2 linked regions of the Macaca fascicularis genome follow. The protein of the gene in region 1 purifies or fractionates together with the protein of each later gene. This does not show direct contact. Links are inferred from orthologs where the notes say so. Each region holds a gene or a part of one and is shown in the gene's direction. Other genes may lie near its edges.

Region 1 (3,706 bases):
GCTATACAATAAGGGCTTGATGATTAAATAACTGGGTCGTACACCAAGATTCTGAACATATAGGCAGGTCCTCTTAAGTTTAGTGTCTTTGTGTAATGGAAGTAATAACTATTTTGCCTTTAAGTTGCCATAAACATAAAATGAGATAATGCACTTAGAAAAGTAAAAAAAAAAAAAAAAAAAAAAAAAAAAAAAAAAATCTCATAAACAAGACAACTTTATCATGTATTGAAGGTGGTAGAATAAGAAAACATTAAACGTTTTTATTCTCATTTCCCTTTCTTTCCTTTACAGCTTTCATTTAAACTTGAAATTTCAAGAGAAAATTCACTTTTGAAGTTTTTACTTTTCAAGTGATAATAGGGTCACAGGTTCTTTCCTTCCAGTCTTTCTGTGTTGCTCCCACTCCCTTTTCTTTCTCACATGTAATTTTTTTCCATTTTCTTTAAATAGTATCTCAACTGGGCTCACAATAGCTCAGGGAAGGAGAAACTGGGACATGCCTGATTAATCCATTTTACAGGCCAGGAAACTGAGGCAGATCCCAAGCCTCTGAAGCTCTGACTCAGCAGCATGCAGGGAGCCCTGCCGCTCTCTGCGCCTTTTCTAAGCAAATAGAACAAAACTAACCTTGCCAGGTTTCCAAGCTTGGATCTCTAACACTCCTTCAACGTTCACCCCCGACGTTCCTCCTCTCAGCGCCCCCTCCCTCTCCTTGCCGCCCCCTCCTCGGGAGCAGGTGGTAGGCTCCGCTCCCGACGCGCATGCGCGCGGCACGGTGGGGCGGGGGCGGGGCGGGACTGGGGGTGGAGTGTGCGCGGGCTCGGTTTTGGGCCGCGGCGGGAGCTGGAGTCACCGCCACTCGAGTGCGCAGGCGCTTGGCGGTTACCGGTCTCACCATGGAGCGGAAAGGTGAGCGGTGGAGCGGCCTCCGCCACGAGGGGCAACGGCCGCCGGGGCGAGGCCCGGGTCAGCGCCCGGAGCTTCGCCTAACTGCCGCGGTTCGGTCCCCGGGCTTGCGGCGCCCCTCCACTGAGGTGGCGCCGCCCCACACCCCCCGCCTCTGGGCTGCGGGTCCGCGCCCCTCAGCCCGGGCGTCCTCCGGCGCCGGCCGTCGCCGCCCCTTGTTCCCTGCCAGGCCAGCTTGCGCCTTGGGGCCACTCCAGGGCCCGGACCTTGGCGGGCGAGGCAGACCTCCGCCCGCCCGCCCCCTGACCCGGCCTGAGACCCCTCCGGCGCATCCCGCCCGGGCGCTGCTCTGTGCCCCGTGGGCCGCCAGCCCCCCGGCCGGCCGCCTTGCCGAAGCCTCCGCGCTCGTACCGCAGCCGCCCCTGAGACAGGCCCCGCAGCCGGGCCTGGCGCCCCTGCTGGGTCTCCACCCTCACCTTGGTCACCTCCTTTCCTCCACATTTGCCCTTCATCCATCCCTCTCTCCTGCAGTGCTTGCGCTCCAGGCCCGAAAGAAAAGGACCAAGGCCAAGAAGGACAAAGCCCAAAGGAAGTGAGTCTTGTACCCCAACATCCCATTCTTTGGATTTTCCTCCGGCACCTTCTCTGCTCTGGTTTCGCGTCTTGAATGTGCACAGGGTTTGGGCACCCTGTGGCCGCAGCCACATGGCCTCGGGGCAGCTCGGAGGGTCGCTCTCCAGCAACCATGTGGAAGAGAGCTGCTGTTGCTGAACGCCAGGCCTGGGTCTTAGCAGCCCCAGGCCTGCTGGAAAGGGCTGTCGGAGGAGGACCAGAGCCCGCCCGGTACCTTTCCTCCCCAACTCCACAGAGGAGGCACAAACTCCCCTAGCTTGGACCCCCCCCCACCGGAGCTGGTAGATCATTATCGTTCTGTTTCTGAACTCTGGTCTCTCTCTCTTACCTGCTCCCCAACGTCTTAACTTGCCTCCAACGTCTGCACGGTAGGCCTTAAGGAAATTCTTGAATGAGTTTTTCCGTGTTTACTTTGGGTTCTACCAACCACACACTCCCTTTCATAGAGGAGGGCATGGGGCTTTTCTTTGGGTTAGTCAACTTCCTGAACCTGCAAGGCACATCGGCTTTTTTGCACTGTGCCGGCAGACCGCTGTGTATACAGTCAGTGTCTGTTAACTGCTTCTCTTCTGTCTAAACCTCAATCAAATGCAGATAATCTTCCGGAGTCGGCATCACTATAGTAACGGGAGAGTTCTTTAACACACATCGATGGTTCTGGTTTGGTGTATTAAGCGCCACATGTCCAGTTTTATCAGTGGGATGCATAACAGTAGTTTAGTGCTATCGTGGCAAGTTCAAAAGTTGGTCACAGCCTAATAGAAACTCAGGTAGCAGGCTTCATTCAGCAAGTGAGGCTAAGCCTAAAGAACTTTCATCATGTACTAACGTTTAACTGCAAAGGGTCTTGGAAATCAGCTCTTGGAAATCATCTCTCAGAGAGAGATTCTATGCCTAGTTCTTAATTTTAAGATGTATTATCTTTATACTTTTAAATTTATTTGATTTTTTTGGCGTTGTATGCGGTCTAATTCCCTCTGAGTTGATACAACACATTTCAAAGGCTTTCCTAGGTCACCCCACTGAATGACAATACCAGATTAAGGGGGGCGTAGGGGTGTGTGTTGTTTTTGGAGGCTACCTACTGTTTGGGGAGAGCACCTAATGACTTCTGTCTTTCAATAGAACTAAAGTGGTAGGTGACCTCACCTCTTGCTCTATTTTCTATTCCGTCTTATGAAATATATTTTGTAAGTGCTTGGTGACGAAGGTTTGTAAATGGTGAGTTTGTGTGTGTCTGTTTGCCTTTGGATTATCCGTATATGGGATTATTCAAAACCATTTTTTAATCCTAGATTGTTTAATAGAAACAGCAAGGTGCTAACTTGGTTCTAGTGTGCAGTAGGAATTGAAATGTTAGTTTTCTGTGCCTAGTTGAGTTATTCTTTGTGGAATTGATAAGAATGTGTTAAAACGTTCTTTTCTATTGATACGAGGAAGTTGCGGTTTTTATTATATTACTGTATTTTTTAGAAATCCTGGTCTCTCAGACCATTTGTCCGGATCTCTCTTACCACTTGGAAATTAATTTGAGATTAGCCCAAATCAAGCTATAATTTGAGGGGCAAATGTATATAGGTGATCATATACTTTAAGCACCAGATATCTATTACTTCCGATTATCTATTTAGACTATATGCTTTATTTCTAAAGCCAAATATATGTATATCTGTTACCCCATTCACTACTATGGATAACTTAGAGTTATTTGTGTTGTTAATTGTTTGCAAGTGTGGATTATAGATAACGTAGCAGTCATTTTACTGAATATTTTATCTTGAACAACTTTGACTCCTGAAAATATGCGTGAATGAACTGCCCCATTTACTTGTAATTTCAGAGGTGTTTTATTTTTGGTTTTGTTTCCAATTAATGCGTTTTTGCGTTTTTTTGTTTTAAATTTACCTTTTTATTCTTTTTCTTTTTGAGGCAAGTTCTCGCTCTGTTGCCCAGGCTGCAGTTTAGTGGTGCGATCTCGGCTCACTGCAACCTCCACCTCCTAGATTCAAGCAATTCTCTTGCCTCAGCCCCCCAAGTAGCTGGGACTATAGGTGTATGCCACTACGCCTGGTTAATTTTTGTATTTTTTGTAGAGATAGGGTTTTGCCATGTTGCCCAGGCTGGTCTCAAACTCCTGAGCTCAGGTAATCTGCCTGCCTTAGCC
Region 2 (3,651 bases), on another chromosome or scaffold:
TTGCAGTGAGCCGAGATTGTGCCATTGCATTCCAGCCTGGGTGATAAGAGCGAACTCCATCTCAAGAAAAATAATTTTAAAAATCCAAAATAATGGAGGAGACGAGATTGTGACTGAGTGGCCAATTCTAGACTGCAACAGCTAGGTGATTTGAAAGATGTCATTTGACTTTATTTAGTTGAGGTGTGTGTTAAGTTTCTGAGGGTTTTTTTGTGGGTTATTTAAAAACTAAAATTCAGATAGTGTTCAATATATTGATTTTTAAACTTTTCTGTATTGAACTCCTGTAACTGGAAATATGGAAGGCAGTAAAACAACAGAAGGTCTGATGCAGTGACTTACGCCTGTAGCCCCAGATGCTTAGGGGGAGGCTAAGACCCTGGGGATCTAGGCTGTGGTGGGAGGATTGCATGAGGCCAGGAGTTCACTGTGATCATACCTGTGAATAGTCACTGCACTCAGAACTGGGCAATGTAGCGATAACCCAAGTCTAAAAGATACTAAAAAAAAAAAAATTACAGTAAGTAGTTATAAGCTTTATAGTAGAACCAAGGGCCTTTATTACAGGGAAATCTGTACTGGCTCTGTTTCTCCCTGGGTGCTCCTGATGTAGTCTAGTGCCAGTGTATTTGCTAACTCATATCTTCTGTACATTTGATTTTAATCCATTATTTTGTTTATGTTAAAGTGAAAGGAGATGACCTTCAGGCCATTAAGAAGGAGTTGACCCAGATAAAACAAAAAGTGGATTCTCTCCTGGAAAACCTGGAAAAAATTGAAAAGGAACAGAGCAAACAAGCAGGTAAATGGGTTTTCTGCTTGTTGGGTATATAGTTGGGTTAGTTACGTAAGGCACTTTAAAGTATATGTTGGAATAGTGGAATATAAAGCAATGTAATATGAAACTTGGGGAGTGTGAATTGGGAAGGGTATTTGTGTGGGAGGATTTAGATTTGTGCTGCAGTTCTGTGATCCTTAGTGGGGATTGTCTACATCCTGTGGACATTACTGCCCCTAGACAGACTTGTCCTTCTCATCCCCAGTAGAGATGAAGAACGATAAGTCAGAAGAGGAGCAGAGCAGCAGCTCCGTGAAGAAAGATGAGACTAATGTGAAGATGGAGTCTGAGGGGGGTGCAGATGACTCTGCTGAGGAGGGGGACCTACTGGATGATGATGATAATGAAGATCGGGGGGATGACCAGGTGAAAACCACGGGAAAGGAAAGAAAAAGGTGGTGGAGGGGGGCTCAGGGACACATGGAGTGCCTCTAACTCCATCCTATTTGTGTCTGTTTCTCACAGCTGGAGTTGATCAAGGATGATGAAAAAGAGGCTGAGGAAGGAGAGGATGACAGAGACAGCGCCAATGGCGAGGATGACTCTTAAGCACATAGTGGGGTTTAGAAATCTTATCCCATTATTTCTTTACCTAGGCGCTTGTCTAAGATCAAATTTTTCACCAGATCCTCTCCCCTAGTATCTTCAGCACATGCTCACTGTTCTCCCCATCCTTGTCCTTCCCATGTTCATTAATTCATATTGCCCCGCGCCTAGTCCCATTTTCACTTCCTTTGACGCTCCTAGTAGTTTTGTTAAGTCTTACCCTGTAATTTTTGCTTTTAATTTTGATACCTCTTTATGACTTAACAATAAAAAGGATGTATGGTTTTTATCAACTGTCTCCAAAATAATCTCTTGTTATGCAGGGAGTACAGTTCTTTTCATTCATACATAAGTTCAGTAGTTGCTTCCCTAACTGCAAAGGCAATCTCATTTAGTTGAGTAGCTTCTGAAAGCAGCTTTGAGTTAGAAGTATGTGTGTTACACCCCCACATTAGTGTGCTGTGTGGGGCAGTTCAACACAAATGTAACAATGTATTTTTGTGAATGAGAGTTGGCATGTCAAATGCATCCTCTAGAAAAATAATTAGTGTTATAGTCTTAAGATTTGTTTTCTAAAGTTGATACTGTGGGTTATTTTTGTGAACAGCCTGATGTTTGGGACCTTTTTTCCTCAAAATAAACAAGTCCTTATTAAACCAGGAATTTGGAGAAAAAAAACCCTGGTTTTTTATTTTTGTATTTTATTATTGTTTACTTCAAACTTTGTTTTACAGCGTCCTCCACAAAACCTCTAGAATGTACTAGATACATTTTTCTTGGAGTCATAATCATGATACATACCAACACAACACTACTCAAATTATATTTCATTGAGTTGCATGTTGCATTGAGGAGTCAAATAACTTGACATACAGTGGCGATTGTTTTTCAAAATGGCTTTTACATCCTAATGAAAGTTCAGTGCTTTGTGGTCCAACTGGCACCCTTTTTGAGGTTTTTGTTGTGTGCTAAATTGCTTTGTCCTTAAATAGGAGAGACTCAAAAACAAGATTTCAGGAAAATTGCAACAGCTGGACAATGGAACTCCCTGCTTTCTTCTGTTTTGTTCTTTTAATTACTATTTATAGCCTCAGTTACCTTCTGAATTCTGAAGTGTATATCTCCATGTTACTGAAAACGAGAAAACTCTTATTTCCTGATACTCCACAGTCTTGCCTTCCCAGGTGATTGAGAACATAAAGAATGTTACATTTATTTTACCCTAAATGATCTTTTACCCCTATTAGCTGATCTTTGTGTTTTCCCTCAACTTTATTAATTACAGTTATTGTATTTTTAGCATCCAGTCTTACTTAAAATGAATATATTAAACAGCTACCAGTGTTGTGATACCTCATCCTTGAAAGGCTTAATTGATTTGTGTTTTAAACTTCAGTTTTTCCAGCACAGCAGAAAATGGCGTTTATAATTTTTGTGCACACAAACCTTGGATTCCCCTATAAAGTTGCTATTGTTTCATAGCATGCAGCACTGGCCTTTTTTCATCCTACTCATTACAGGCGAAACTCATGTCTTATTTATAAGGATTTTATAGATCATTTTCTATATCAGGTGACAAAAGCAGAAAAGAATGAAGAGGCTGAACTATGAACTACCCTTGGAGCCCATATACATGATATAGGCAATTTCTTTTGTATGTTAATTCAGTCAAAAATACTACCCACTTGATGTTTTCTGATCTGATGTGAGCTCATGTTACATAGACTTTTAGTAAGTAACCCATGACTAGAAAATAAACTGGATGCTTAGGAGAGAGTGTCAGATGTATAAGATGCTAATAAAACATGTTTAATATTATGTTGTTAGCTGTAAGTTTTTGGGAAATACTGGAAAAATTAGTCCACAATCAAGTGTCTACTTTTCACTTCACTGTAGGGCCTCTTTCCCCGCACAGAGCAGTCTATTTAGCTGTGAATACCACAATCTGCAGATGCTCAAGTCCCTTACATAAAATGGCATAGTATTTGTATGTAACCTATGCATATTCTCCTGTATACTTTAAATCATCTCTACATTAAAATACCTGATAAAATGTAAATGGTATGTAAATAGTTGTAACTACTTTTATTTGTATTGTTACTTTTTAATTTTTTTTTCTTTACTAGTATTTTCGATCTATAGTTGGCTGAATCTGCATGTGTAAAACCCACGAACACGGAGGGCCAACTATACATTTAATTCTGTAGGAAAGCAGATATTGAATGAAGCTGTGGAAAGCACTTAATATTAGGTTGGTGCAAAAGTAA

The links.
Region 2: the proteins of SRPK1 (region 1) and HNRNPC fractionate together in Homo sapiens (co-fractionation; 3 studies listed by BioGRID and IntAct, with this or other methods). This does not show direct contact. The link is inferred for Macaca fascicularis from reciprocal best matches to the Homo sapiens genes SRPK1 and HNRNPC.

Annotation. Positions count from the first base shown.
Region 1 is NC_088378.1:135,750,792-135,754,497, forward strand, and holds the start of SRPK1 (SRSF protein kinase 1), read left to right. Parts: upstream 1-857; 5' UTR 858-899; coding exon 900-1,501; intron 1,502-1,870; exon of another isoform or gene 1,871-1,935; intron 1,936-3,706. UniProt on the Homo sapiens protein: Serine/arginine-rich protein-specific kinase which specifically phosphorylates its substrates at serine residues located in regions rich in arginine/serine dipeptides, known as RS domains and is involved in the phosphorylation of SR splicing factors and the regulation of splicing.
Region 2 is NC_088381.1:88,872,709-88,876,359, reverse strand, and holds the end of HNRNPC (heterogeneous nuclear ribonucleoproteins C1/C2), read left to right. Parts: intron 1-688; coding exon 689-802; intron 803-1,043; coding exon 1,044-1,204; intron 1,205-1,303; coding exon 1,304-1,387; 3' UTR 1,388-3,202; downstream 3,203-3,651. UniProt on the Homo sapiens protein: Binds pre-mRNA and nucleates the assembly of 40S hnRNP particles. Interacts with poly-U tracts in the 3'-UTR or 5'-UTR of mRNA and modulates the stability and the level of translation of bound mRNA molecules. Single HNRNPC tetramers bind 230-240 nucleotides.